Anolis sagrei: one gene and its partners. The protein of the gene in region 4 purifies or fractionates together with the protein of the main gene of each other region. This does not show direct contact. Links are inferred from orthologs where the notes say so. Each region holds a gene or a part of one and is shown on either strand. Other genes may lie near its edges. The genes, in order: PHF19, CUL4B, DDX5 and EZH2.

Region 1 (8,096 bases), on a different chromosome or scaffold from region 4:
ATCAGGGCTTTGCGGAAGAGCTGGGGTCATTTGCTATTTTCCAACAGCTCCTGCCAACCAGGCTTTGCTTTCTAGAATGCTTTGGATCAAACTATAATCCACTCTCATTTTGTGTTTTGGCCTGTTTTGGTTTTCCCGAAACTTTATTTCCAAGCATGCAATCCGTCCGCAACCCTGAAGTGCGCATCAAACAAATCTGCGTGATAATGATGTGGATGCAGTGACAGTTCTTGTACACAGAAGCACTTGACTGATCGATTGCAGATACATCTAGTTGGGAATTTAACCCTCAGCTGTTTGTGGAACTGGGAGCCTGTCTGTGGAAGTGGGCAGCCCAGCCACACAACGTACATACGCATATAGATATAGATTATGATGAACATTATGATCAGTTTTATGCTGTACTAGCCGTCACCAGCCACACGTTGCTGTGGCCCACATAGGTGTTCTGTGTGGGAGTTTTGGCCCAATTATATCATTGGTGGGGTTCAGAATGCTCTTTGATTGTATGTGAACTACAAATCCCAGCCACTACAACTCCCAAATGTCAAGATTCTATTTTCCCCAAACTCCACCAGTGTTCACATTTGGGCATATTGAGTATTCGTGTAGAGTTTGGTCCAGATCCATAATTGTTTGAGTCCACAGTGATCTCTGGATGTAGGTGAACTACAACTCCAAAATCAAGATCAATCCTCACAAAACCCTTCCAGTATTTTCTGTTGGTCATGGGAGTTCTGTGTGCCAAGTTTGGTTCAATTCCATTGTTGGTGGAGTTCAGAATGCTCTTTGATTGTAGGTGAACTATAAATCCCAGCAACTATAACTCCCAAATGGCAAAATCAATTTCCCGCCCAATCCCACCAGTATTCAAATTAGGGCGTATCATGTATTTGTGCCAAATTTGGTCCAGCAAATGAAAATACATCCTACATATCAGATATTTACATTACGATTCGTAACGGTAGCAAAATTGCATTTATGAAGTAGCAACGAAAATAATGTTATGGTTGGGGGGTCACCATAACATGAGAAACTGTATTAAGGGGTCACAGCATTAGGAAGGTTGAGAAACACTGGTGTAGAGTTTGGTCCAGATCCATCATTGTTTGAGTCCACAGTGCTTTCTGGATGTAGGTGAACTAGAACTCCAAAACCAAAGGACACTGCCCACCAAACCCTTCCAGTATTTTCTGTTGGTTATAGAAGAACTGTGTGCCAAGTTTGGTTCAATTCCATCGTTGGTGGGGTTCAGAATGTACTGGTGAACTATAAATCCCAGCAACTACAACTCCCAAATGACAAAATCGTTTTGTTTTGTTTTTTTGAGTGAAGGACATACATTGGATTGTTAGGTGTCTTGTGTCCAAATTTGGTGTCAGTTCGTCCAGTGGGTTTTGAGTTCTGTTAATCCCACAAACGAACATTACGTATTTATTTATATTTATTATTAACTCTTTCGGGCAATATTATAATCATATTTATGGACTACTACTATGTTTTGTTATGATTGCTTTATGTTTTTGATTTTGCTTTGAGTTGTTTCATTATGCTGTTGTTGTGTTGAGGCCTTGGCCTTTGTAAGCCGAATCGAGTCCTTCGGGAGATTCTAGTGGGGTACAAATAAAGTTTAATAATAATGATTATGATGATGATGATAATAATAATAATAATAATAATAATAACAACAACAACAATGTTATACAATACTAGCCATCCCCTGCCAGGCATTGCTGTGGCCCAGTCTGGTGATGTGGAAAATAAAGTAATGAGAAAGTGTTGGTTTCTAATATATGTCATATCTTTCTGCTTGTGAGGAACCAGTATTTCTTGCTGTTTCTTTGCCAGTGTTGATGTGGTGATTGTCTGGTTTGCCTACTCTTGAACATGCAACATGTAATTGTTCATTAGGGGTCCCTTTCAAATCTATGATACTATATGTGTCATATACATATGTGTGTGTGGGAGAGAGAGAGAGAGTCAAATATATCTATAGCTGGATGGCTCTTTGTCAGGAGGGCTTTGATTATGTTTTCTTGCCCTGGTCAAAGGAGTTGAACTGGATGGCCTTAAGGCAGCATTTCTCAACCTGGGAAATCAAGACCCCGGGGGGGGGGGGGTCATGAGGGGGTATCAGAAGGGTCACCAAAGACCACCAAAAACACAGTATTTTCTGTTGGTCATTGAGGTTCTGTGTGGGAAGTTTGGCCCCATTTTGTCGTTGGTGGGAGTCAGAATGCTCTTTGATTATCGGTGAACTATAAATCCCAGTAACTACAACTCCCAAATGTCAAGCTCTATTTCCCCCAAACTCCATCTGTGTTCATATTTGGGCATATGGAGTAGTCATGCCAAGTTTGGTCTAGATCCTTCATTGTTTGAGTCCACAGGTGAACTACAACTCCCAAAAATTAAGGTCAATTCACCCCAACCGTCTCCAGTACACTTGGTTAAGTAGTCATGGTGATTTTCTGCGCCAAATTTGATCCCAGTCCATTGTCGATGAAGGTCACAGTTTCTCTGGATGTAGGTGAACTACAACTCCCAAACCCAAGGACAATGCCCACCAAACCCTTCTAGTGTTTTCTGTTGGTCATGGGAGTTCAGTGTGCCAAGTTTGGTTAAATTCCGTTGTTGGTGGAGTTCAGAATGCTCTTTGATTGGAGGTGAACTATACATCCCAGCAAATACAACTCACAAATGTCAAGGTCTATTTTCCCCAAACTCCAACAGTGTTCACATTTGGGCATATTGAGTATTGGTGCCATGTTTGGTCCAGATCCATCATTGTTTGAGTCTGCAGTGCTCTCTGGATGTAGGTGAACTACAACTCCTATAAATCAAGGTCAGTTCTGGAAGTAGGCAAACTACAATTCCAAAACTCAACTCCCAAATGACAAAATCAATATTTTGAGTGATGGTCACTCCTTGGGTTAGTAGGTGCCTTGTGGCCAAATTTGGAGCCAATTCGTCCAACAGATTTTGAGTTATGATGTCACTCAAAACGAACAGAACATTTTTATATATATAGATTATGTCCAATTCTGGATGCATTGACGCAAGACATTTTCCCAAGGAGAGTCCCAAACCTCTGTCCGCTCTTTCGATCCATATCCACCAACTTCTGTTCTCATCGCTACCAACAGCAGTCCTTGATGGTGGTTCATGGTCAAGCTCTGCTGCTTGAGATGCTTCTGCCGTTTCCGCTGCTTGAAAACTACCAAGAGCAAGATTCACGGATGGGCTTGTGTGATACACCGGAGGAAAAGGGTGCCCTCTTTGAGATAGGCGTATTTCGGTGACTGTAACTTAGCCAACAGGATGAATTTGGGAAAGCCACTGGCTTCGTTCATATCCGTCATGGGCCTCTGGAAGGAAGGTGATGCTGGATCCGGGTGGATGGTGCTGACATGATCTTCTGTGTTGTTTTGACTCAGCAGCATGAACGTGACCTGGGAAAAGACAAGCAGAATGGCTCAGGTGGCTTGTTTGTGTGGTTGCCACAACTGTTACACAGTGCATATTTTAACCCAACGTCCCAGCGCCCAAAACCCAAATGCAAAAGACCTCACTACCTCTGAGGATGTTTGCCATAGATGCAGGCAAAACGTCAGGAGAGAATGCCTCTAGAACATGGCCACATAGCCTGAAAAAACCTGCAACAACCCAGTGATTCCGGCCATGAAAGCCTTCGACAATACAAATGCAAATAGTCTCAGGCCAATAGTCAAAGTGAACAGAAAATCTTTACTCTCTTTACTTTGCAGAGATGAAACAAAACTGGCAATGCTGCACACAAAACCCAGCAGTGCAACATATTTACACAGTCTTTGTAATAAACATAAAATAAGACATCTTCATCTTTACTGAAAATGGGAAAACAAAATAAACCTGAAGTATTTATTTGTTGTGTCAGGAAAACCAGTCAATTGTATTACATTTCTAACAGAACAAAACAAACAGACAAAATACAAAATTTGCAAGTTTGGTAGTTGGTTAAATATCCTTTGACCAGTAGCTGGCTACTTGGAGTGCTTGTGATGTTGCCACAAGGAGGTCCTCCATGGTGTATGTGGCAGGGCTCAGGTTGCATTGCAGCAGATGGTCAGTGGTTTGCTCTTCTCCACATTCCCATGTCGTGGATTCCACTTTGTGGCCCTATTTCTTAAGGTTGGCTCTGCATCTCGTGGTGCCAGAGCGCAGTCTGTTCAGCGCCTTCCAAGTCACCCAGTCTTCTGTGTGCCCAGGGGGGAGTCTCTCATTTGGTATCAGCCATTGGTTGAGGTTCTGGGTTTGAGCCTGCCACTTTTGGACTCTTGCTTGCTGAGGTGTTCCAGCAAATGTCTCTGTAGATCTTAGGAAGCTACTTCTTCATTTAAGTTGTTGGCGTGCTGGCTGATACCCAAACAGGGGGTGAGCCGGAGATGTCACTGCCTTGGTCCTTTCACTATTGGTTGTATCATAGTGTTACATAGTGCAAATATGGGCCAGGCTTTAGCACAGTGTTTCTCAACCTGGGGGTCAGGAGGGGTCACCAAAGACCATTAGAAAAACACAGTATTTCCTGTTGGTCATGAAGGTTCAGAGTGGGAGGTTTGGCCCCATTCTCTTGTTGGTGGGGTTCAGAATGCTCTTTAATTGTAGGTTAACTATAAATCCCAGCAACTACAACTCCCAAATGTCAAGGTCTATTTTCCCCAATCTCCAACAGTGTTCACATTTGGGCATATTGAGTATTTGTGCCAAGTTTGTTCCAGATCCATCATTGTTTGAATTTACAGTGATCTCTGGATGTAAGTGAACTAAAACTCCAGAACTCAAGGTCAATGCCCACCAAACCCTTCTAGTATTTTCTCTTGGTCGTAAGAGTTCTGTGTGCCAAGTTTGGTTCAATTTCATCATTGGTGGAGTTCAGAATGCTCTTTGATTGTAGGTGAACTTTAAATCCGAGCAACTACAACTCCCAAATGATAAAATCTACTCCCCACCAGACCCCACCAGCATTCAAATTGGGGCATGTCGGGTATTTGTGCCAAATTTGGTCCAGTAAATGAAAATACATCCTGCATATCCGATATTTACATGTCAATTCATAACAGTAGCAAAATTACAATTACGTAGTAGCAATGAAAATAACAACTATGTAGTAACAACGAAAGTAGCAAAATTACAATTATGTTGGAGCCCCCGGTGGTGCAGTGGATTAAAGCACTGAGCTGCTGAGCTTGCTGACCGAAAGGTCGCAGGTTCGAATCTGGGGAGTGGGATGAGCTTCCGCTGTCAGCCCCAGCTTCTGCCAACCTAGCAGTTCGAAAACATGCAAATGTGAGTAGATCAATGGGAAGGTAAGGGCGCTCCATGCAGTCATGCAGGCCACATGACCTTGGAGGTGTCTATGGACAATGCTGGCTCTCCGGCTTAGAAATGGAGATGAGCACCACACCCCAACGTCGGACATGACTGGACTTAATGTCAGGAGAAAACCTTTACTTTTACGTAGTAGCAACGAAAATAATGCCTTGGTCAGAGCACACCCGGAATCACACTGCGTCTGATTCTGGGCACCGCAATTGAAAGGAGATGTTGACTCTAAGCTGGAATGTGTCCCAAGGAGGGCGACTCAATGGATCAAGGGTCTGGAGAAGAAACCCTATGAGGAGAGGCTGAAAGAGCTGGGCATGTTTATCCTGCAGAAGAGAAGGCTGAGAGGAGACATGGATGAAGATGGGAGGGGAAGTCAGGAGGGAATAATCGTGTTTTCTGCTGCCCTGGAGACTAGGACGTGGAACAGTGGCTTCAAACTACTGGAAAGAAAGGAGATCCCACCTGAACATTTGGAAGAACTTTGTAATTGTGAGAGCCGTTCAGCAGTGGAACTCTCTGGCCTGGAGTGTGGTGGAGGCTGCTTCTTTGGAGGCTTTTAAGCAGATGTTGGGGGTGCTTTGAATGTGATTTTCCTGCTTCTTGGCAGAATGGGAATGGACTGGATGGCCCACGAGGTCTCTTATTGTTTACTTTTGGTCAGATGAGAATAGGATGGAGGTCATCTACTTTTACTTTCTGTTTTCGTATTTTTTCCTGGATTTTTTTGGGTGTTTTTTACTCTATGTTTCTTTTCTTGCTCCACTTTTTTCAATTTTCAATGTAACCTCCATAAATCTGTGTGCTGCAAGGGCAGGTGCTTGTTGCATAAGCAAAAGCGGTCGTTCCCACATTTCAGGGCCACCAGATGGGAAAACAAAGCCAGATGCAAGAGATTGGGCAAAGCTGCCCAAGCAAAATATTGTGAAACTCAAATCCATTTCGAGCCTTCTCCAGGCCAAGCCGTGGCTCTCATTTAAGAAGTGTATACATAAGCATTCAAGATTCAATGAGATGTTGAACCTAACTCCGTCCTGACAAACCCTGACATCTCTCCCTGGCCTGGATTGTTTACTGAGCTCTGTTTATGTCCTGCTAGAAATGCAACATTACATGCCTGGAAATGGTGGTTACATACAAACCTTGATAAACGGTCTCTTCAACAACAAACAAGCTTTGGCTACATTCTGCACATTGGACACACGGACGATATAATAACACACAGTTGCCATGTCGTCATTTTGAGTTTGCACCCTTTGCATAATTCTGAAGTTCTATACAATATTTTATCTAGGGTGGTTGTGAGATTTCCAAGCTGCCTGGCCATGTTCCAGAAGCATTCTCTCCTGAAATTTCACCTCCATCTATGGCAGAGGTTGTGAGGCCTGTTGGGAACTAGGAAAATGGGGTTTATATATCTGTGGGATGATGTCCAGCAGGCCCGTAGCCAGGATTTTGATTCGGGGGAGGGGGCTGAGTTTGTTTTTTTTGGGGGGGGGGGAGGGTCAGGATCTACCCTAGCAAACCTTTTGTATTGTTACCCCAATACCCCCATGCATAGGGGATATTTTGAGCATGGTGATCAGATCATGATACGAATAAACATAACAGTTTAAGTAATGTACCAGTAAGGCCATCTCGTGGACCATCCTGAGAATTGGGGGGGGGGGGGGGGCTGATTGTAGAATAACTATAAATCCCAGCGACTACAACTCCCAAATGACAAAATCAAATTTTTTGAGTGATTGTCACTCCTTGGGTTAGTAGGTGTCTTGTAGCCAAATTTGGCAGCAATTTGTCCATTAGTTTTTGAGCTATGTTAATCCCACAAACAAAGATTACATTTTTATTTATATAGATACTAGCTGTTCCTGCCACGCATTGTTGTGGCCAATCCTCCCTCCCTCTTACTCTCCTTCCTTCCTTCCTTCCTTCCTTCCTTCCTTTCATTCTTTCCTTCCTTCCCTCTTTTTCTTTCCCTTCTTTCTTCCTTCTCTACCTGTTTCTTTCCTCCCTTCCTTTGCTTTTTGGTTCCATCTTTCCTTCTCCCCTCCCTTCCCTCCCTCCCTCTTTCTCTCTTTCATTCATTCTCTCCTTCCTTCCTTCCCTCTCTCTTTCCTTCCTTCTTTCACTTTTTTATTTCCTTCTCTCCTTCCTTCCTTCTCTACCTTTCTTTCTTTCTTTCTCTCCTTCCCTCCTTCTTTCCCTCTTTCTCTCCTTCCTTCCTTCCTCTCTCCCTCCCTCTTTCTCTCTTTTATTCCTTCTCTCCTTTCTTCCCTCTCTCCTTCCTTCCTTCTTTCACCTTTTTATTTCCTTCTCTCCTTCGTTCCTTCTCTTTCTTTCTTTCTTTCTTTCTTTCTTTCTTTCTCTCCTTCTTTCCTTCCTTCCTTCCTTCCCCCTTTCTGTGTATATGTGTTTTGTGTGTATATATATGCATATGTGTTTATATATTTGTGTATATATGTAAATATGTGTGTTCGGGTATATATGTGGTTTTGCGCATGCGTTGTAATGTATTTTTTTGTTTTTTGGCTTTTAAAGTCTCTTCTGCTGTGTTTTTCAGTGTTTTTATGAGTGATGGTCACTCGTTGGCCTGATAGCTGTATTGTGTCCAAATTTGGTGTCAATTCATCCAGTGGTTTTTGAATTATGTTAATCCCACAAACAAAGATTACATTTTTACTTATATAGATATATTATACACATATACACCAGGCAAGGAAAAGCCCCGTCTC
Region 2 (7,865 bases), on a different chromosome or scaffold from region 4:
CCCTGCTAGATTACCAGCTGTTAGGATTTCTGGGAGTTGAAGGCCAAAACCTCTGAGGGTTGAGAAACACTTCTCTAAAGCGTGTTTGGCTCGTCTCTGAAAGGTGATGCTTTTCTCAAAAGTTACGACCTCCAAAAGGTGTTATTTTTTCCTGAATGCCTTTTCCCAGAAGTGTTATGTTTTCTGCTGGGCCCCCCCCGCTTTTGGAATTCGTTGCCTAAAGAGATCAGGCAAGCCCCCACCCTAGCTGGTTTTAAGAAAGACCTAAAAGCCTGGCTCTTCCATTGTGCTTTTGGAGAATGACCATTCAACCCATCTGGTTGTCTTAGTCTACAGATACCCTCAGAACCAAGCATCCCCCCCGCCCCACCAAATGTCTAAATCCCATGGTTCCTCCCTGTTGGGCTCCTTTCCTACAAATGCACTTTCATCCCTATCTCACCCAGGGTTTTAACTTTTTAAACATTTTACCTCACATATTTGGCCCGCCCTCTGTGTCTAGTTTTAATATGCTGTTCTATATTGTTGATTTTGTTATTTTATATATTGTCATGATGTATTTTGTTACTGTGTGTTTATTATGTTGCATTCTTTTGGGCTTGGCCTCATGTTAGCCGCACCGAGTCCCCTTTGGGGAGATGGTAGGGGGTTATAAATAAAGTGTATTATTATTATTATTATTATTATTATTATTACCTTTAAAATTCTTGATGACTAACTTCTTGGCCGAGCCCGGTTTACTATTGGCAAAGCTGGAGACGCTGGACGAGGCGGCTTTGGTCAGGCCGTTCGCGTGGTGCCCAGTCTCCGGGCCTTAGTTTGAGGACCCCTGTTCTAGAGCAGTGGTTCTCAACCTATGGCTCCCCAGGTGTTTTGTCCTACAACTCCCAGAATTCCCAGTGAGTTTACTAACTGTTAGGATTTCTGGGAGTTGAAGGCCAAAACATCTGGGGACCCACAGGTTGAGAACCACTGATCTAGAAGGTAACAGTATAAAAATCTCAATAATGTTTTTGTTTTTTTTTGTATTATAGCTATGTTGATCACTATTCTTTTTCAATCTCTATATGCTGTATCCTGGAAAATAATGACTTTCTGTACGGTCATAATTTTTCAAAAAAATTAGATTTTCATTGTATTACATACACCAGTGTTTCTCAACCTGTGTGGCAAATTAGGTTCAAATCAATTGCCGGTGGAGTTCAGAATGCTCTTTGATTATAGGTGAACTATAAATCCCAGCAACTACAACTCCCAAATTACAAAATCAATCCCCCCCCCAACCCCATTAGCATTCACATTTGGGCATATTGGGTATTTGTGCCCAATTTAGTCCAGTGAAAATATATCCTGCATATCGGATATTTACATTACGATTTATAACAGTACTAAAATGACAGGTATCAAGTAGCAACGAAAACAATATGGTTGGGGGTCACCACACCACCAACCCCAGAGATCCCTCCGTTCTGAGGACCAAGATCTATTGGAAGTCCCCAGTGTCAAGACCTTGCATCTAACGGCAACCAGACGCAGAGCCTTCACAGCAGTGGCACCATCAGTCTGGAATGCTCTGCCACCTGAAGTTCATGCCCTGCAGGACTTACCAGCTTTCCGCAGGGCGTGTAAGACATACCTGTTTCGACAGGCTTTTAATGTTTGATACTGTTGTTTTTAAATTGTTTTAAATAGCTTTTAAACTTTGTTAGATTTAGCCGCTCCGAGCCCCAGAAGAGTGGCGGCATATAAGTTTAAATAATAAATAAATAAATAAAACATAGGGAACGGCATTAAGGGGTCACGGCATTAGCAAGGTTGAGAACCACTGGCTTAGAAACAAATATTTGAGAAACACTTCTCTAAAGCGTGTTTGGCTCTTCTCTGAAAGGTGACACTTTCCTCAAAAGTTACGATTTCCAAAATGTGTTTTTCTTTTCCTTTCTGAATGCCGTTTTCCAGAAGCGTTACCTTTAAAATTCTTGATGACTAACTTCTTGGCCGAGACTGGTTTACTATTGGCAAAGCTGGAGACGCTGGACGAGGCGGCTTTGGTCAGGCCGTTCGCGTGGTGCCCAGTCCCCGGGCCTTCGTTTGAGGACCCCTGTTCTAGAGCAGTGGTTCTCAGCCTGTGGGTTCCCAGGTGTTTTGGTCTACAACTCCCAGAATTCCCAGCCAGTTTACTAGCTGCTAGGATTTCTGGTAGTTGAAGGCCAAGACATCTGAGGGTTGAGAAGAGTGTGTTTGGCTCTTCTCTGAAAGGTGAAAGTTACGATTTCCAAAAGGTGTTTTTCCCCCCTGAATGTCGTTTTCCAGAAGCGTTACCTTTAAAATTCTTGATGACTAACTTCTTGGCCGAGCCCGGTTTACTATTGGCAAAGCTGGAGACGCTGGACGAGGCGGCTTTGGTCAGGCCGTTCGCGTGGTGTCCCGCGGCCACGGAAGAAAGGAGGAGGCTTTTGCTTTTGAGCTGTTGTTGTTGCTGCTGCTGCTGTTGGGAAGCAGACGAGGAAGACGAAGCCGGCGACGAAGTGGAGGAAGACTCCTCGGCCATCTTGACATCGAGTCCAATAAAATCCAAGGAGTCCTCAAAGCGGAGCTTCTTCTGCAAGTGGTGGTTGGAGGAAGACGAGGAGGAGGAGGAAGAGCAGGAGGTGGTAGCAATGGCTGAGGAAGAAGAGGAGGAGGAATGGTTCCTGGGGAGGAGAGAAGAGCAGGAGGAAGAAGAGGAGGAAGAGAGGGGCTCCGTCTCGTCCTTCTCGCTGTTGTTTAGCTTTCTCTTCTTGGAGGAAGAGGAGGAGGAAGACGACGAGGAAGAGGAGCTACTGCTGCTGCTACCATCAGTGGCAGGCCTGACCTCCTGAGCGGAAGAGAAACCTGTGGGAAACATGAACACCCCCGAGATGAGCCGCAGGCGGGCCAGAAGGACGGTCGGGCACCCGCTCTTCCTTCCTCCCTTCCTGCCTTCCTTCTCCCCGTGTCTCCGTCTCCCCTGCGAGGCCTGTCCGCCTCCCCAAGCAGGAGGCCAGCCCAGAGCCTTGTTATGGTCAGCACCACAGCCCGCTCAGGCAGGGCAGCCCCAAAAATGGCGGCGCTTCCGCCCGCGCGGCACGCCGGGAAGCCGACCCCGCCGGAAGTTGAGGAGGCGAGCAAGGAGGCGGAAGTGGCTCTCCTGCGCCCAGGCGGGGTCACGTGACGGCGCCTCCAGGCCTCCTCCACGGGGATGGCTCTGGCTCCCTTCCTTCCTTCCTCCCTTCCTTTTTGCAAGGCCAACACAGGGATGCTTCTACTCTTTCCATTCGTCCTTCTTTCTTTTTCCCTAGTTTCCTTCCCTTCTTTCCCTCTTTCCTTCTTCCCTTCTTCCTTCCTTTCTTCCTCCCTTCTTTCCTTCCCTTCTTTCCCTCTTTCCTTCTTCCCTTCTTCCTTCCTTCCTTCCTCCCTTCTTTCCTTCCTTCCCTCCCCCCTCCCTCCCTCCTTCCCTCCCTCCCTCCCTCCTTTCCTTCCTCCTTCCTTCCTTCCTTCCTTCCTTCCTTCCTTCCTTTCACAGGGATGCCTTGACTCTTTCCTTTCGTCCTTCTTTCTTCCTCCCTTCTTTCCTTCTTCCCTTCTTCCTCCCTTCTTCCCTTCCTTCCCTTCTTTTCTTTCCCTTCTTTCCTTTCACAGGGATGCTTTGACTCTTTCCTTCCGTCCTTCTTTCTTCCTTTCTTCCTCCCTTCTTTCTTTCCCTCTTTCCTTTCCTTCCTTTCTTTCACAGGGATGCTTTGACTCTTTCCTTCCGTCCTTCCTTCTTCCTTTCTTCCTCCCTTCTTTCCTTCCTTCCCTTCTTTCCTTTCCTTCTTTCCTTCCTTCCTTTCACAGGGATGCTTTGACTCTTTCCTTCCATCCTTCTTTCTTCCTTTCTTCCTCCCTTCCTTTGTCCTTCCATTCACAGGGATGCTTTGACTCCTTCCTTTCTTCCTCCCTTCTTTTCCTTCTTTCCTTCTTCCTTCCTTCCTCCTTCTTTCCTTTCTTCCTTCCACCCCCCCCCTTTCTCCCTACCTCCTGCCTTTCCTTCTTTCTTTCCTTCCTTCCTCCCTCCCTGCTTCCCCCTTCCTTCCTTCCCGCCCATCCTGTTTCCTTCCTTCCTTCCTTCCCACCCTCCTTCCCGCCCTCCTCCCTTCCCTCCCACCCTGCTTACCTCCTTCCTTCTCTTCCTCCTACCCTGCTTACCTCCTTTCTTTTCCTTCCTTTCCTCCCCACCCTGCTTATCTCTTTCCTTCCTGCCCTCCTCCCTTCCCTCCCACCCTCCTTCCCTCCCTCCTTCCCTCCCTCTTTCCCTCCCTGCCTGTTTCCCTCTCCTTCCTTCTGTTCTTTCTTCCTCCCTCCTTCCCCCTTCCTTCCTTCCCGCCCACCCTGCTTCCCCCCTCCCTCCCTCCCTCCCTCCCTCCCTCCCTTCCTTCCTGCCCTCTTTCCTTCCCTCCCACTCTGCTTACCTCCTTCCTTCTCTCCCTCCTACCCTGCTTACCTCCCTCCTTTTTTCCTTCCTTCTCTCCTTTCCTCCCTCCCACCCTGCTTATCTCTCTTCTTCCTTCCTTCTCTCCTTCCTCCGCCCCAACCTGCTTCCCTCCCCCCTTCCTTTTTTCCCTTCCTTCCCTCCCACCCTGCTTACCTCCTTCCTTCCCTGCTTCCCTCCCTCTTTTTCCTTCCTTCCCTTCTTTCTTCCCTCCCACCCTGCTTGCCAACCTCCTTCCTTCCCTCCCACCCACCCTGCTTACCTCCCCCACCCTGCTTACCCCCTCCTTTCTTTTCTCCCTTCTTTCCTTTCTTCCTTCCTTCCCTCCCTCACTCCTTCCCTGCCTGTTTCCCTTTCTCCTTCCTTCCTTCCTTCCTTCCTTCCTTCCTTCATTCATTCATTCTTTCCTTCCTTCTGAACCCCAAAACTCCAGATGATGTATCCCAGTGGCTTCATGTAGATCGGTTGTTCCCAACCTTTTGGACCCCTGACCAACAATAGTACCAAAAGGATTACAGATCAGTTTTTGGTCAACTTTAGATTCGGTTTGGTTATTTGGGGTGCTTATTCAGAAAATTGGACAAACCACCTCAGCTCTAGTTTCTAATGCAGAACATATTCTACCCAGTAGTCACCATCTGCTCATCCACAGAAAACCATATTTGATAATCTAGAGATGATGTGGTAGTAGTAATCTTTCGTGGGTAGTCAGCCTCTCCCTCCCGACATACCCGTTGCCTAAGAGAGTTTCATGAGACCAGTCATGTGGTTTTGAGACAACAGTGTAGTAACAGTAAGGCCGTGGACCATATTTTCATTCTTGCAGACCACTGGTGGTCCACAGGCTACAGTTTGGGAACCACTGAGGTAGACGTTGAATAACATTGGGGATAGCAATGAGTCCTGTGGAAGACCACAACCCACCAGCCATGAGGTCGAGCAGGACTCCCCCAGGACCACCTTCTGGGAACGGCCTGAGAAGAAGGATTAGAACCACCATAGCACATTGCCTTCTAACCCCATTCCCTCAAGCCTTCCCAGAAGGATACCATGATTGATGGTATTGAAGGCCACTGAGAGGTCCAGGACGGTTAATAGGGTCAGACTCCCCTGATCAAGTTCTCCGTGTAGATCATACACCAAAGTGACCAAAGCTTTTTCTGTTCCACGTCCCAGTCTAAAGCCAGATTGATTCGGACAGTCAACCTGATCCAGAAATCCGTATGGTAGTGTACATCCAGCCTGCCATTTTTGACAAGGACTGAGCCCAACTCCTTTCATAGTATACAACTAGAGTAGAAAGTAGCATGACAACGATAGTCTACAATGCATTATTTGTATGTCGTTGAAAGTGAGTCCAATCACATCAGTCCCTCGCATGAATCTGAACTGAAGGCAGGTTTCCATTGCTGTGGGCTGGAAAGGCAGGGCATGTTTATACGAAATAAAAGCTGGGTATAATAATAATAATAATATAGACGTGGATTCAGTGGATCAAAGACGAGCTTGAAGAGAAAGAATGATAATTTGATTTAATTTTATTTCACCTCTTTTATTGTGATGCATTATTAAATACATTAATAAATGATAAGTTATTTATTTTCATTAATCTATATAAATCAAAATGTAATGTTCATTTGTGCGATTAACAGAACTCAAAAACCACTGGACGAATTGACACCAAATTTGGACACAAGACACCTAACAACTCAATGTATGTCCTTCACTCAAAAAAATGATTTTGTCATTTGGGAGTTGTAGTTGCTGGGATTTATAGTTCACCTACAATCAAAGAGCATTCTGAACCCCATCAACGATGGAATGGAACCAAACTTGGCACACAGTTCTCCCATGACCAACAGAAAATACTGGAAAGGTTTGGTGGGCAGTGTCCTTTAGTTTTGGAGTTGTAGTTTGCCTACATCCAGAGAGCACTGTGGACTCAAAAAAGGATGGATTTGGACCAAACTTGGCACAAGCACTCAATACGCCCAAATATGAACACAGATGGAGTTTGGAGGAAATAGACCTTGACATTTGGGAGTTGTAGTCACTGGGATTCACAGTTCACCTACAATCAAAGAGTGTTCTGAACCCCACGAACGACAGAATCGGGGCAAACGTCTCACACAGAACCCCCATGACCAACACCAATACTTAAGGCCATCCAGTCCAACTCCCTTCCCCAGGGCATGAAAACGCAATTAAAGCCCTCCTGATAAAAAGCCATCCAGCCATAGATAAAGATATATATGATTCACACACACAGAGAGATAATATCATAGATTTGAAAGGGACCCCTAAAGAAGGACAATGATATGTTGAATGTTCCAGAGTTGGCAAACCAGACACTCTCCACATCAACGCAAAGAAACAGAAAAAGAAAAACAGTTTACCCACAAGCATCAAGATATTTCATATTTTAGAAACCAACACTTTCTCATTACTTTATTTTCCAGATCAACAGACTGGGCCACAGCAACGCCTGGCAGGGGACAGCTAGTAAATAATAAGTTATTTGCAGATTATTCAAAAATAATAGTAATAAATAAATTAATAAAATATTTAAAATTGAACACATAAAATTTAAGTCAACATTGGCATGTTTTCAAGCTGCTAGGATGGCAGGAGCTGGGCCTAACAACGGGAGCTCAACCTGTTCCCGGATTCGAAGTGCCGACTTTCCGGTCAGCAAGTTCAGCAGCTTAGACATTTAACCTGCTGCACCATTATTATTTATTAATTATTAAATACATTTTAATTGTTATCTCATTTAATGGTTAATTGTGTGTTAAATTTTAAACGATTTATTAATAAATAATTTAATATTACTATTTTTACAACTAAACAATTATTTATGAAAATGATGTATTTATTTATAAATAATAATATATTAGTAATGTGTGAAAAGAAATAAACATATTTATTATTAATCTATTAATAAACAAAGGATTGTTTATGAAAACAAATTGTTATTCATAAATAACAATATTAGTCATTTGTGAAATGAAATAAACATATTTATTATTTACTTGTTATTAATTACAAATAATAAACCTTTTACTGTATATGAAAACCATTATTGATTAATTTATTATTCATAAATAATAAATTATTAATCTATTAATAAACAAAGGATTGTTTATGAAAACAAATTGTTATTCATAAATAATAATATTTGTCATTTGTGAAACGTATTTATTATTTACTTGTTATTAATTACAAATAATAAACCTTTTACTGTATATGAAAACCATTATTGATTAATTTATTATTCATAAGTAATAAATTACGTATTAGGCATTTATGAAAATAGATGTATTTATTCATTATTATTATTTTATTTAATGTACTGTATTATTAATTGCTGGAAGAA
Region 3 (7,777 bases), on a different chromosome or scaffold from region 4:
GCTAACTTTACTGCATTTTAATGCCTTACTACTAATATCTACCATAACAGACCTTCAATCAGGGTTACAGTTGTTATCTGCAGCTTTTGCTGCATTTTATTGAGTATTTTAACTAGGAGTTTTTAAATGCTGTTTTTTTGTACATCCATTTGATGTTACTAACATTGCTATTGTTTTACAATTGTTAAGTGTTTCAGTAAAATGCAAATGTTTCCCCTTGACATTCAGTCTAATTGAGTCCAACTCTGGGGGTTGGTGCTCATCTCCATTTCTAAGCTGGAGATGAGCACCATTTCTAAGCCAGCGTTGTCTGTAGACGCCTCCAAGGTCATGTGGCCAGCATGACTGCATGGAGTGCCATTAATTCGTTTTACTGTATTGTACATATAGCACTGCACTAACACATGCTTTTGGAAGCCACACCAAGTCCCTTTTGGGAGATGTGGAATATAAACAAAGTTATTAATAATAATAATAATACTATCGCTCTAATCATATCATTTGCCACCTGTGGGTTTGAGAAAGGTAGGGTAGAAATATCGTAAATGTTACTATACATGATTGTATAGTATCGTAACTTTATTTTTCTACCCCGAAGGGACTCTTGGTGGCTTACATGTGGCCAAGCCCAAGGCAACATACAATTAAAAACAAAACAATAACAAAATAGCATAAAATATCATAAACAGTAATAAACAACTATAAAAAACAACAGCAGATTAATTTTAGGGAGGGGGGGAGGCCACTATGCGAACTGGTTAAGAGATAGGGTGGTTCAATAAGGTGGATAGAAACTTATAGTAGCATACAATATTCTTCTTCTAAATAAAAATATATAATTAATAATATTAATTAATTGTGGTAGTGATATTAATATATCACTATCAACATCCAAATATTAAAACATCCAAGATTTAGAGGACAAGCAAAGCAACTGCATTTTATTGAGCTTGGCCTAATGTAAGTTGCCCCAAGTTCCCTTGGGGAGATAATGGCGGGGTATAAATAAAGTTTTATTATTACTAGCTGCCCCCTGCCACGTGTTGCTGTGGGCCACTCTGGTGGTCATGGGGGTTGTGTGTGGGAGGTTTGGCCCAATACTATCGTTTGTGGGATTCAGAATGCTCTTTGATTGTAGGTGAACTATAAATCCCAGTAACCAGAACTTCCAAATGTCAAGGTCTATTTTCCCTAAACTCCATCTGTGTTCCTAGTTGGGCATATGGAATATTTGTGCCAGGTTTGGTCCAGATCCATCATTGTTTGAGTCCACAGTGCTCTCTGGATATAGGTGAACTACAACTCCCAAACTCAAGGTCAATGCCCACCAAACTCTTCTAGTGTTTTCTGTTGGTCATGGGAGTCCTGTATGCCACGTTTGGTTCACTGCCATTTTTGGTGAGAAAATCAACTTTTTTGAGTGAAGGACATACATTGGGATGTTAGGTGTCTTGTGTCCAAATTTGGTGTCAGTTCGTCCAGTCGTTTTTGAGTTCTGTTGATCCCAAAAACGAACATTACATTTTTATTTATATAGACTAGCCATCTCCATGGGGATTCTGTGTGGGAGGTTTGGCCCAATTCTATCGTTGGTGGGGTTCAGAATGCTCTGTGATTGTACGTTAACTATAAATTGCAGCAACTACAATTCCCAAATAACAATATCAATTTATTGGAGTGATGGTCACTCCTTGGGTTAGTAGGTGACTTGTGGCCAAATTTGGTGTCAATTCGTCTAGTGGTTTTTGAGTTCTGTTAATCCCACAAACGAACATTACATTTTTATTTATATAGATATCTATGGCTGGATGGCAATTCGTCAGGAGGGCTTGGATTGCGTTTTCTTGCCCTGATGAAGGGAGTTGGAATTATTTATATAGACTATTATATAGTCTATATAGACTATTATATAGCCTATATAGACTATAGTATAGACTACAATCTATAATCTATGCACTGTGATACAGGACAAAAAGCTTGAACTGTTAAGGATGTGTGTTGTTTTTTTTAAAAAAATTGTTCCGTAATTGTTGAGTGTCTTGACGCAGAGAGGGAGTGCCTCAAAGTGGGTGGGGGAGGATTGTGAAACCGACACAATTCCGGTAAGCAGCTTTTTTTTTAAAGAACAAAGGGGATTATATTTCTTCTTTTTTTTTTAAAAAAAAGGAAGCATGGTGGACTTTCCTTCTCTGGAGTTTTTCTTTTTAAAAAAATTCTTTCCCTTCTCTTTTCTTTTTCCCCCCTTTTTCTCCCTTTCTTTTCTTTTCTTTTCTTTTCTTGAGAACCATACATAAACATCCACATCTCAGGAGTTCCACCATAACACATAATTTGAGTTTTTTCAAAGCAGATGGCTATCTGTCGGGAGTGATTGGATGGTGTATCCCCGCGTGGCAGGCAGGACGGGGTTGAACTGGATTGGCCCTTCAACTCTAGGGTTCTTTCACAGAGGGAGAAAAACGCCAAGGCGCCACTGCGCATGCGCAACCCCCCTCCCCCTTTTTCCATCGAAAGTCTCCTCTAAAACCCCAGCCGAGGAGTAAATCCGTCCCCGCTCAGCTTTTGTCTGGAAGGAATGGAGGAAGAGGGACGGAAAGGGAAGCCTGGAAGGCGGGTAGCTGGACAGGAGGGGCTCCCCTTGCTTTGAGGGCCTATTTTCCCCCGTCTACGCCACATTTTCTAAGCCGGCGCGCGTCCATTTTAACGCCGGGGCGGGGATAAGGAGAGAAAGGAGAGAGAGGAGGAACAAAGGAGGCAGCCGCCGGCATTTTGATTTCCCCTCAGCCACCGCATGGCGGGGACGAGAGACAAAAGAGAGGAGGAAAAGGAGGTCCTTCTATTTCCCCACCACAATCCTTTCAGATATTTAACCATTCCCTTTTCCTTCCCCCTCCCAGACTCAACCCGTTTCTGAATTCCCCCCCACGCCTCTCCTTTTTCCCAAACGCCCCCGCCGCCATTTTGGCCACTCTCGGCTCCCCCCGCCGCCATTTTAAATACCCCCGGCTCCCCCCGCCGCCATTTTAGAGCCCCCCCCCCCCCGCTCTTCCCCGTCAGAGTTCATCCTTCAAAAGAGCCCCCTCAGGTCTCACCCGCGGTCCCTGTCGCTGGAATAGCCAGGCATGCTGACGACGAAGAAAGGGCCTTGAACGACGGAACGGCGAGGGACACAAGCAGGCTGGGATCAACCGCAAAGCCGATGGCGGGGGCGACTGAATGGGGAGTGTCTCGCCGGGCGGATGCCGGTTATATAGCCGGCGCCGCCGCGAATGCCGGGAAGCCGGCTCGTGACGTCACTAAAGAGCCCCGCCCCTCCCTCCAGATTCCACTTCCAACGTTCTTCCTTTTTTTTCAAAGGCGATGGGGCGGGGCTACAGTGATGGGCACCTCTTTCGGCCTATAAGGAGCGCAGGAGCTGGAGCCGGCCGGCTTTTCGGCTCCTTCGGACAAAAAGGGGCGGGGCTTCCCACTCGGCCTAGTAGCCGCTGGAGCCCAGGGCGCCTTGTGAGGCTTGGCTCGGCCTCCACGGCTGACGCCCACGCAGCTCTGAGCGCGCATGCGCAGACCGGCTCTCATTCGGCTCCGGGCACTGACCCTGCTTGGTTCCTGTACGTGAGGACGTTTGTCACGCATCCTCTCTTGTTGGCTAGGGGCCCTTCCGTACAGCCATATAACCCAGAATCTCAAGGCAGGAAATCCCACAATATCGCCTTTGAACTGTGTTATTTCAGTCCACACTGCCATATATTCTAGTTCAAAGCAGATAACGTGAGATTTCCTGCCTTCATATTCTGGGTTATATGGCTGTGTGGAAAGGCCCTAGGAGGATTATATTTATATTATTATTATCTATATCTATAAAAATGCTCTGTGGATAATGAGCATCTTAAAAACAAAAGAAGCAGTGAACGAAATTATACCAAATTTGGCAACAAAACTTCTTACAACACAAGGAGTGACCACTCAAAAATTATGATTTTGTCATTTGGGAGTTGTAGTTGCTGGGATTTATAGTTCACCTATAATCGAAGAGCATTCTGAACTCTTATCAACGATGGAATTGAACCAATCTTGGCACACAGGACACCCATGCCAAACAAAAAATACTGGAAGGGTTTGGTGGGCATTGACTTTGAGTTTGGGAGTTGTAGTTCACTTACATCCAGAAAGCACTATGGACTCATACAATGATGGATCTGGACCAAACTTGGCACAAGCACTCAATACGCCCAAATATGAACACAGATGGAGTTTGGAGGAAACAGACCTTGACATTTGGGAGTTGTAGTCACTGGGATTCACAGTTCACCTACAATCAAAGAGCATTCTGAACCCCACGAACGACAGAATTGGGGCAAACTTCCCACACAGAACACCCACGACCAACAGAAAATACTTAAGGCCATCTAACCCAACTCCCTTCATCAGGGCAAGAAAACATGATCAAAGTCCTCCTGACAAAGAGCCATCAAGGAATAGATAGATAGATAGATATGATTCACACAGAGAGAGATATAGTATCATAGATTTGAAAGGGACCCCTAAAGAAGGACAATGATATCCTATATGTTCCAGGGTGGGCAAACCAGACACTCTCCGCATCAACACTGACAAAGAAACAGCAAGAAATATGCTTACCCACAACCATAAACAAATTACATATATTAGAAACCAACATTTTCTCATTACTTTATTTTCCAGATCAACAGACTGGGCCACAGCAATGCATGGCAGGGGACAGCTAGTAAAATATAAATTATAATGATTGAAACTCAACCAGAGCAAAATTTTATAAGACTGCGCCATTTTGAATTGTTTTTACCCATTATATTGTAAAATATACATTATAAATATATATATTATAAAATGGATTATATCAGAGTTTAGTTGGGGCCTATCACCCTATCTACACAGTCATTTCATGCAGTTAGGACTGTATTATATGATCTCAGGCTGGATCTACATCCAAGATTATCTGATTATCCCAGATTATTTGGCAGTGGGGACCAATCCAATTCAAAGCAGATAATCTAGAATCATAAAGAATTTGATAACGATGTTGTGAACCGGTTGCTATGAGTTTTCCAGGCTGTATGGTCATGTTTCAGAAGCATTATCTCCTGACATTACACCAGCATCTAACAAGGCTATTAATAACACAAAATGGGAAAGGAGGAGTAGAAATTAAGGTAGAAGAATAGTATAAGGAAATATGGAAATGAGCAGTAAATGATAAATTAACATTTAATTTACAGGTTTAAAAAGGCCTAAGGAAAAGTAACATTTTTAAAAGCAGATGGGAAAATATTTATTGAAGAAACATTGATAACTGACGATGTGATTGAATAATTATTTCAGTAAGGAGATGCTGAGGATATACGTTTTTATTGTTTTTATTGACTTGATATGAATTTATATTTTATATGCTAACGTTTTAAGTGTCACAATGTCTGCAGCCCCTCCCACAACAAAGAATTAAGGTCAAATTGCATACCAATACACAAATAAATATAGTAAGCAATTATATACATAACAAATAACCAGTAGACTAGAGGCTTGAGAAGGTTGCTGTTTCCATCAGGAAGAAGATTGTGTATAGAAGATTGTATGCTATACATAGCACACAAATATTACGAGATTCATAATAACTTTTCCCTCAAGATAGGTTTGATAAACTGCAGTTGTACAAGCTAAGTATCCAGATTAACTGTGTGTATCTATGTTGTATAATTAATCCAGTTTGAAACCACTTTACCTGATGTGGCCCAGTTCTGTAGGATGATGGGATTTGTAGTTTGGCAAGATCCCACAGAAGGCTAAAGACCTTGGGAAACTATAACTCCAGTGATTCCATCACATTCAGTGGTATCAGACTGCATTGATTCTACAGTGTAGATGCATCCAATGACAGCTGCACAATCAAACTGGGCCAACAGTATCCCCAGGATTTTATAAAGACCTTGCTGTGAAGTCAGAGGGGCACATAATTGTGATAAATCTATTATGAAGCAATCTAAAGGCATTCATGATCCCCTGAGCAGTTAGATGCTGCTCTTCCTCCTCCTAGTTGGGTTCCTACGCTTTTAATTGTTCAAATCCAACACAGCTTCAATAGATAAACTTTCTCCTGTCACTCCATTGCTTTGCTGGGGTAACTAGAATTTTCTAGATTTGACTTGTCAATTAAAAGCATAGTAGTCCCAGCTGAAAAAAGTATACCGACCTTTGAGATGTTCCATCGTGAAATCACTCCAAAATAACACCCCAAAAAGCTCAATTACACTAGAACAAAGGCACTCACAAGCAAGTCTATATTTTCCCTGTACCGCTTGCATGATTATAAGACGAGGCCATTACAGGCAGTCCCCAAGTTACAAAGAAGACAGTTTCTGTACGTTTATTCTTAAGTTAAATTTGTATGTAAGAACACATACATTTTGAAATGTAACTCCAGCCACATATTTCTATAAGCTTTGGACAGCATAGGGAAAAGTTAATAGCCCTGTGGTGTTTGTTTTGCTGCCCGTGACCCTGTTCAGAAGATTTCACCTCACCTTCTGTCCCTGTGATAATTGGATTTTGAAAAAAAAATAGTTTGTTGTGGAAACAAAGATTGGGGAGAAAGCTTAAGTGGAAACACCTTTTTCCCACTATAAGGAGTGAATTTTCTTTCCGAAGAGTAGATTTCTCTCACTTCCTGTTGTCTCACCCTCCTTAACTATGAGTCATTTGTAAGTCTGATGTTTGTAATTTGGGGACTCCCTGTTGTAATTTTCTGCATTATCATGTCAAACCTTGTCAATCGAATCTGCAAAGCAATGTTTTGGCAATAGTAGCAATTTATCCACTTATCATCACCATCAGTTACATCGATTGCAGAATAGTTGAAACATACAAAAGATCAACATTAACATAGAAACAATTTAAAATGTACAAGTCAATGGGTAAAAACCATTCAAAATGGTGCAGTCTTATAAAATTTTGCTCTGGTTGAGTTTCAACACACAAAACAAGACAATGTCCTCTTAAAAGTTATTTTCTTAGGTTACTATGTAATCCAGTTTCTGAATCCAGATGATTTGCTTTGAACTGGATTATCAACAGAGGCTGGACCTACGCTGCCATATAATCAGGTTCAAAGCAGATCATCTGGACTCAGAAAATTAATTACATAGCAGTATATTTTTTTTGCAAACTTTGAGTACTAAAGGTCTTGGAAACCTTTAGTGCTCAAAGTCTGCAAAAAAAAAAAAAAATTACAGGGCTTTGCCTGTCAATACAAAGACACCCAGGAGGGGTTAACATGTTGCCTGTTTATATGCCGGAAGTGAAGAGAGCAATGGAAAAGGTGTAGCAGCAATTCTAATACATTATTTTATATTGCTCGTAAATGAAAACATGAAACTGAAGGAGGAGAGCACTCACAATATTGATGGAACAGAGTACAGCTGGAAAGAAAGTGTAACCCCCCTTTAGACAATGGATTAAATGGGGCTCTTGCAGTACTAGGCAGTCACTGCATTGCCATCTTTCACAAGGGAAGAGAATACAACCGCCACAGAGGGCCTAGATTCAAATAATTCAAATTATAGGTGCTGCTACACTGTAGAATTATGGCAGTTTGACACCACTTTCACTGCCATGGCTTAAAGCTATGATACCATAAATACTGTTGTTTTTCAAGGTTTTTCTTTAGCCTTCTCTGCAAGAGTGCTGTGTCCTCACCAAACTACAAATTCCAGGATCCCAAGGCCTTAGTATTTTAGTAGGGTCTCCA
Region 4 (7,960 bases):
ATCACTCATGAAAACACTGAAAAACATAACAGAAGGGACTTAAAAAGCCAAAAAAGCAAAAAGACACTACAATACATGCACAATAACAACTCCCTTTAGCAAACAAAACACACAATAGCATATCCACCCTCTCTTCTGGACTACAGTTCCCAGTATCCCCTAGACCCGGCCCTTTAGAGGAGGAGGATGAGCCAAATGCACTGCTTCCAAGCTGCAAGCATTCTTCTCCTTGGATGTCTTTGAAAGCATCCCAATCCCTGCATATTTCCAATTTCCTATTCCTGGACTGCAACTCCCAGCAATCCTCCAGATAGATAAGATAGATAGACAAATAGGTATGTGGATAGATTGATCAGAAGGAGTGCTGGGAGGTGCAGTCCAAGAATAGGCAGAGAAGGAAGAAAGCGGAGAAAGAGGAAGGGAAAGAAAAGGGGGGAAGGAAGGGAAGAGGAAGACAAGGAAGGAAAGAATGAAAGAAAGGGAAGGAAGGAGAAAGAAAAGAGGAGAGAAAGAGGGAGGGAAGGTTGGCCACAGCAACACATGGCAGGTACAGATAGCAAATAAATAAATATTGATACAAGCTGACCCATTTGAGGGTAGGGAGGGGGGATTCAAAGGGAAACTAACATTCTATATTGAAAAAGTAAAAACTGAAACTGTAACATAGTTACAAAAATTGAAAATAGTCATCTATATTAATTCATATACTGTCAAAGTTTGTACTATGATGTATTGTTAACTGCATGGTTTTCAAAAAAAGTAAACAAATAAGGGGAGGGGAAACTACCTTACACCTAGCTGAACGTTGTTTTTTCTGGTAAGCCATGTCTTATCATGATATGACCCTCACTGTGGAAGAACATGCGTGTCAAGAAGAGGGCTCTATAGCCACCTAGATATCCACCACCAAGACACAACACTTGAAGGGCCAACATATTCTGGCAAGGAGAGATCACCTAAGTCAGTGCTTCTCAACCTTCCTAATGCCACGCTCCCTTAATACGCTTCCTCATGTTATGGTGACACCCAACCATAAAATTAGTTCCATTGCTACTTCATAACTGCCATTTTGCTGCTGTTATGAATAGTAATGTAAATATCTGATATGCAGGATGTATTTTCATACACTGGACCAAATTTGGCACAAATACCCAATACACCCAAATTTTGAATACTGGTGGGATTGGGGGAGGGTACTGATTTTGTCCTGTGGGAGTTGTAGTTGCTGGGATTTATAGCTCACCTACAATCAAAGAGCATTCTGAACTCCACCAAGGATGGAATTGAATCAAACTTGGCACACAGAACTCCCATGACCAATAGAAAATACTGAAAGGGTTTGGTGGGCATTGACCTTGAGTTTTGGGAGTTGTAGTCAGAGGCGGCCCTAGGTAATTTTCAACGGTAAGCAAACCAACCCACCCACCCACTCATTGATATATATTTTCTGTTCATCATGGAAGTTCTGTGTGCCCTATTTGGTTCAATTCCATCATTGGTAGAGTTCAGAATGCTCTTTGATTTTAGGTGAACTATACATCCCAGTAACTACAACTCGCATATGTCAAGGTCTATTTTCCCCCAAGAGCGCCCCTGGTTGTAGTTCACCTACATCCAGAGAGCATTGTGGACTCAAACAATGATGGATCTGGACCAAACTTGGCACGAATTCTCAATATGCCCAAATGTAAACACTGGTGGAGTTTGGGGAAAATAGACCTTGACATTTGAGAGTTGTAAGTGCTGGGATATATAGTTCACCTACAATCAAAGGCACGCATTCTCAATATGCCCAAATGTAAACACTGGTGGAGTTTTGGGGAAATAGACCTTGACATTTGAGAGTTATAAGTGCTCCAAAAAATTGACGAATTTGTGATCATCCAGCGGCTCCTACACAATTATATGATAACAGGATTTATAGTTCACCTACAATCAAAGGCACGAATTCTCAATATGCCCAAATTCTCAATATTCCCCAAACTGGTGGGGTTGGGAGGAAATAGACCTTGATATTTGGGAGTTGTAGTTGCTGGGATTTATAGTTCACCTACCATCAAAGGCCCGAATTCTCAATATGCCCAAATGTAAACACTGGTGGAGTTGGGGGAAAACAGACCTTGACATTTGAGAGTTGTAGTTGCTGGGATTTATAGTTCACCTACAATCAAAGGCATGAATTCTCAATATGCTCAAATGTAAACACTGGTGGAGTTTGGGGAAAACAGACCTTGACATTTGGGAGTTGTAGTTGCTGGGATTTATAGTTTACCTACAATCAAAGGGACGAATTCTCAATATGCCCAAATGTAAACACTGGCGGAGTTTGGGGAAAATAGACCTTGACATTTGAGAGTTGTAGTTGCTGGGATTTACAGTTCACCTACAATCAAAGGCACGGATTCTCAATATGCCCAAATGTAAACACTGGTGGGGTTGGGTGAAAATAGACCTTGACATTTGAGAGTTGTAAGTGCTGGGATTTATAGTTCACCTACAATCAAAGGCACGAATTCTCAATATGCTCAAATGTAAACACTGGTGGAGTTTGGGGAAAACAGACCTTGATATTTGGGAGTTGTAGTTGCTGGGATTTATAGTTTACCTACAATCAAAGGCACGAATTCTCAATATGCCCAAATGTAATCACTGGCGGAGTTTGGGGAAAATAGACCTTGACATTTGAGAGTTGTAAGTGCTGGGATTTATAGTTCACCTACAACCAAAGAGCATTCTGAACCCTACCAAGGATTGAATTGGGCCAAACTTCCCACACAGAACCTCCCTGAGCAAGAGAAAATACTGTGTTTTCTGGTGGTCTTTGGTGACCCCTCTGGCGACCCCTCCAGGGATCCCGACCCCCAGGTTGAGAAACACTGGCCTAAGTAATGCCAATGAGTAATGTCTCTCTCCCTCCCTCCCAATGAGGCGCCCTCACCTGCTCACGAGCACGACTTCAGTCATTTCCACCTGTTTTCCCCGTAGCATGTTCATTTTCCCGGGCTCTTCATTCACTCTCCTGTAGACTAGCTTCGCCTCTCCCCGCTTACCTTTCCCATTCTCTCCCCATTGAGGAAGGCCCCGCCCCACCTGTCTTTCACAGGAAGCCACGCCCCCTCGCTCACTTGTAGGCGCCCCTCCCCCCCCTCCCACCCCCAAGCACGACAAAGAACTCGAAGCGGGTGTGTCTGCCTGTCTCTGTCCGGCTCCCTCACTCGCTCGCGCGCTTACCCCCTCCTCGCCGGGCCCGCGGCGCCCCTCTCTCGGCTCGCCTCCCGTCCGTCACGCCGCCCCGCTCACTTCTCCCTTCTTCTCCTTCTTCTTTCCTCCTCCTCCTCCTCTTCTTCGGCTCCGGACAACAGAGCGCCAAACCCGGCGGCGGCCAAATGGCCCCGGCTCTCATTGGAGAGAAGCTGCCGTCGTCCGGATTGGACGAACCGCGCTCTCCCCGCCCCCCCGTAGCCGGGTCTCAGCCAATCCTCGGCGTCCTGGGCCCGAGGGGCGGGGGCTTGCGCGCGCCCCCCACGTGCAGGGCGGGAAAGAGGGGGAAGTTCTTTGTTCTCGCGCTGTTTAGAAGAAGGCGGGAGTTGCCTCGGTTCCTCTTTTTCAAATGTGGTTTCTTCGCTGGGCGCGCGGGGCAAGCTCTCTCCCTCAGGAGGAAGTGGACCGCCTCAGCCCCGTTGCAAGGCAGGAGGGCGGGAGGCCGTTAACGGTTCTAACAGCCGTGGCTGCCTTTGCGCGCGCGCGGCCGGGGGGAATGGGGGAGCCTGGCCGCCCCTCAGGCGGGGCTCTGCGCCCGGCCCCCTCGACGCCTGTTGCTGGATTTGGGGGGGGGGGGGGGGAGGCCTGTTTCCACAAACAGTCGGGTCTGGCTTACAGTTGAGGTGCGTCTCTCTCTCTGCTGCTGCTGTTAGGAGCCACCATTGTTGTGGAGGTACAGAACCATCTTGAATCCGACTATCTATATAAATCACACGCATAAAGACATTACATATATTAGAAGCCAACACTTTCTCATTACTTTATTTTCCAGATCACCAGACTAGGCCACAGCAACACTTGGCAGGGGACAGCTAGTATATATAAAGAAAAAGGTAATGTTCGTTTGTGGTATTCACAGAAGTCAAAAACCACTAGATGAATTGACACCAAATTTGGAAACAAGACACCTAACAACCCAATGTATGTCCTTCACTCAAAGAAATTGATTTTGTCATTTGGGAGTTGTAGTTGCTGGGATTTATTGTTTACCTACAATCAAAGCATTCTGAACTCCACCAATGATGGAATTGGGCCAAATTTGGCACGAATATTCCATATGCCCAAATATGAACACAGATGGAGTTTGGAGGAAATAGACATTGGGGATTTCTAGTAATGTAATCAGAGCCATCCAGTCATAAAGATAGATACGATTCTCTCTCTCACACACACACACAGATATAGTATCATAGATTTGAAAGGGACCCTTAAAGAAGGACTATGATATGTTGCATCCTTGAAGTGACTGGACTGACCTTGAAGGAGCTGGGGGTGGTGACGGCCGACAGGAAGCTCTGGCGTGGGCTGGTCCATGAGGTCACGAAGAGTTGGAGGCGACTGAACGAATGAACAACAACATGATATGTTGCGTGTTCCACAGTAGGCAAACCAGACAATCGCCACATCAACACTGGCAAAGAAACTGCAAGAAATACTATTTACTCACAAGCATAAAGACATTACATATATTGGAAACCAACACTTCTCATTGCTTTATTTTCCAGATCACCAGACAGCCACAGCAACGCGTGGCAGGTGACAGCTTGTTGTTGTTCATTCATTCAGTCGTCTCTGACTCTTCGTGACCTCATGGACCAGCCCACGCCAGGGCTCCCTGTCGGCCGTCACCACCCCCAGCTCCTTCAAGGTCAGTCCAGTCACTTCAAGGATGCCATCCATCCATCTTGCCCTTGGTCGGCCCCTCTTCCTTTTACCTTCTACTTTCCCCAGCATAATTGTCTTCTCTAGGCTTTGCTGTCTCCTCATGATGTGGCCAAAGTACTTCAGCTTTGTCTCTAGTATCCTTCACTCCAATGAGCAGTCGGGCTTCATTTCCGGAGGATGGACTGGTTGGATCTTCTCACAGTCCAAGGCACTCTCAGAACTTTCCTCCAACACCACAGCTCAAAAGCATCGATCTTCCCTAAGGTCCAGCTCTCACGTCCATAGGTTACTACAGGGAATACCATGGCTTTGGCTGCTGCTGTTAGGAGCCACCATTGTTGTGTAGGTACAGAACCATCTTGAATCCGACTATTATTACTATTTATTTATATTTTTATCCCGCTTTTCTCCCATACCTGGGAGAACTGTGGTTAAAACAACAGAAATCCCATGACACAAAAAGCACAACATCACCTCCCCACAAAAAAAACATAAACAAATAGCACCTTGCATAAACCAGAAACAACAAATAATAATAAGTACCAAACATGTGCGCCAGCTGCGCCCGTACCTTGGGAAGTCTGACTTGACCATGGTAGTCCACACTCTGGTTACATCCCACATAGATTACTGCAACGCACTCTACGTGGGGTTGCCTTTGAAGACTACTCGGAAGCTTCAAATGGTTCGGCGCTCCGCAGCCAGGTTGCTAACAGGAACGGCACTCAGGGAGCATACCACTCCTCTCTTGTGCCAGCTCCACTGGCTGCCAATCTGCTACCGGGCACAATTCAAGGTGCTGGCGTTAGCCTATAAAGCCCTAAACGGTTCCGGCCCTACTTACCTCTCCGAACGCATCTCCACCTATGAACCGACTAGGACATTAAAATCATCTGGGGAGGCCCTGCTCTCGATCCCGCCTGCATCACAGGCGCGTTTGGCGGGGACGAGGGACAGGGCCTTCTCGGTGGTGGCCCCTCGGCTGTGGAATGCCTTACCTGTAGACATCAGAAAGGCCCCTTCGCTGTTGGCGTTCCGGAGGAAGGTTAAGACTTGGCTTTACGAACAAGCGTTTGGCTAAACAGTGCAAATGAATACAGGAAAACGGTAAAATCGAACATAGGAAAAAGGTACAAGGATTATGAGAACGGATTCTGATTTGCTGTTGAGGCGTTATGATATGATAATGATTGTTTTTGATTTTGTCTGTTATGGGGCCTGCATCAATAGGAGCATAGTGTCTAGATCTAGGGAAGTAATGCTACCCCTCTATTCTGCTTTGGTTAGACCACACCTGGAATATTGTGTCCAATTCTGGGCACCACAATTCAAGAGAGATGTTGACAAGCTGGAATGTGTCCAGGGGAGGGCGACTAAAATGATCAAGGGTCTGGAGAACAAGCCCCATGAGGAGCGGCTTAAGGAGCTGGACACATTTAGCCTGAAGAAGAGAAGGCTGAGAGGGGATATGATAGCCATGTATAAATATGTGAGAGGAAGCCACAGGGAGGAGGGAGCAAGCTTGTTTTCTCCTTCCCTGGAGACTAGGACGTGGAACAATGGCTTCAAGCTACAAGAGAGGATATTCTATCTGAACATGAGGAAGAACTTCCTGACTGTGAGAGCCGTTCAGCAGTGGAACTCTCTGCCCCGGAGTGTGGTGGAGGCTCCTTCTTTGGAAGCTTTTAAACAGAGGCTGGATGGCCATCTGTCAGGGGTGATTTGAATGCAATATTCCTGCTTCTTGGCAGAATGGGGTTGGACTGGATGGCCCATGAGGTCTCTTCCAACTCTTGATTCTATGAGTCTATGAGTCTATGTATAATGTGTTTTAATTGCTTATGATACTGTTGTGATAACCTGTATTATGTAAACCGCATTGAGTCGCCTAACGGGCTGAGAAAAGCGGTATAGAAATAAAGTAAATAAATAAATAATAAAGTGTTCCGCCTTGGATTAGACCACACCTGGAATATTGTGTCCAATTCTGGGCACCACAATTGAAGAGACAAACTGGAATGTGCCCCGAGGAGGGCGACTAAAATGATCAAGGGTCTGGAGAACAAGCCCTATGAGGAGCAGCTTAAGGAGCTGGGCATGATTAGCCTGAAGAAGAGAAGGTTGAGCGGAGACATGATAGCCATATATAAGTATGTGAGAAGAAGCCACAGGGAGGAGGGAGAAAGTTTGTTTTCTGCTGCCCTGAGAGGGATGAGAGGAGAAGTCACAGGTCCACAGTTTGGGGGTCCTCCTGGACTCATCACTGTCGCTTGAAGCTCAGGTGTCGGCGGTGGCCGGGAGGGCCTTTGCACAATTAAGACTCGTGCGCCAACTGCAACCGTACCTCGTAAAGGCGAATCTGGCCAGGGTGGTCCACACCTTAGTCACTTCCAGATTGGACTACTGTAATGCACTCTACCTGGGGCTGCCCTTGAAAACGGCCCGGAAATTTTAATTGGTCCAACGAGCGGCAGCCCGGTTGCTAACTGGTGCTTCTTACAGAGAGAGGTCAACCCTCCTGTTTAAAGAGCTTCACTGGCTGCCTTTCATTTTCCGGTCCCAATTCAAGGTGCAGGTGCTTACCTACAAAGCCCTAAACAGTTTGGAAACTGCCTACCTGTGTGACCGCATCTCTGTGTACGAACCCACACGATCTCTTTGTTCATCTGGAGAGGCCCTGCTCACGATCCCACCTGCATCGCAAGCGCGATTGGTGGGGACGAGGGATAGGGCTTTCTCTGTGGTGGCCCTTTGACTCTGGAACTCTCTCCCCAAAGACATGAGGCAGGCCCCATCACTAGCAATCTTTAGGAGGAGCTTGAAAACGTGGTTGTTCCAGTGTGCCTTCCCAGAATAGGAAACTCCTAGCATTATGTCCCAACGCACTTTATCAGAGATCTAGGATATCTGCATGCCCATCCCCCTCCAAACACTCTACATGGTCATGCCCAACACTTTTAATTTTAATTGTTACATTTGGCCCTGCCATTGTTTTTAATTGTGTCATTGTGTGTTGTCAATGTTATTGCTTTGT

The links.
Region 1: the proteins of EZH2 (region 4) and PHF19 purify together in Homo sapiens (affinity purification with mass spectrometry; 10 studies listed by BioGRID and IntAct, counting the BioPlex papers as one, with this or other methods). This does not show direct contact. The link is inferred for Anolis sagrei from reciprocal best matches to the Homo sapiens genes EZH2 and PHF19.
Region 2: the proteins of EZH2 (region 4) and CUL4B purify together in Homo sapiens (affinity purification with mass spectrometry; 4 studies listed by BioGRID and IntAct, with this or other methods). This does not show direct contact. The link is inferred for Anolis sagrei from reciprocal best matches to the Homo sapiens genes EZH2 and CUL4B.
Region 3: the proteins of EZH2 (region 4) and DDX5 purify together in Homo sapiens (affinity purification with mass spectrometry; 4 studies listed by BioGRID, with this or other methods). This does not show direct contact. The link is inferred for Anolis sagrei from reciprocal best matches to the Homo sapiens genes EZH2 and DDX5.

The regions. Positions count from the first base shown.
Region 1 is NC_090031.1:8,752,232-8,760,327, reverse strand, and holds the start of PHF19 (PHD finger protein 19), read right to left. Parts: upstream 3,135-8,096; coding exon 3,090-3,134; exon of another isoform or gene 2,620-3,089; intron 1-2,619. Other genes in the region: TRAF1 (TNF receptor-associated factor 1), read right to left, coding at 3,234-3,452.
Region 2 is NC_090030.1:3,459,987-3,467,851, forward strand, and holds the start of CUL4B (cullin-4B), read right to left. Parts: upstream 3,113-7,865; 5' UTR 2,888-3,112; coding exon 2,323-2,887; intron 797-2,322; exon of another isoform or gene 697-796; intron 1-696.
Region 3 is NC_090022.1:179,768,154-179,775,930, forward strand, and holds the start of DDX5 (probable ATP-dependent RNA helicase DDX5), read right to left. Parts: upstream 3,246-7,777; 5' UTR 3,125-3,245; coding exon 3,093-3,124; intron 1-3,092. UniProt on the Homo sapiens protein: Involved in the alternative regulation of pre-mRNA splicing; its RNA helicase activity is necessary for increasing tau exon 10 inclusion and occurs in a RBM4-dependent manner. Binds to the tau pre-mRNA in the stem-loop region downstream of exon 10.
Region 4 is NC_090026.1:63,278,654-63,286,613, reverse strand, and holds the start of EZH2 (histone-lysine N-methyltransferase EZH2), read right to left. Parts: upstream 3,076-7,960; 5' UTR 2,995-3,075; coding exon 2,939-2,994; intron 1-2,938. UniProt on the Homo sapiens protein: Polycomb group (PcG) protein. Catalytic subunit of the PRC2/EED-EZH2 complex, which methylates 'Lys-9' (H3K9me) and 'Lys-27' (H3K27me) of histone H3, leading to transcriptional repression of the affected target gene.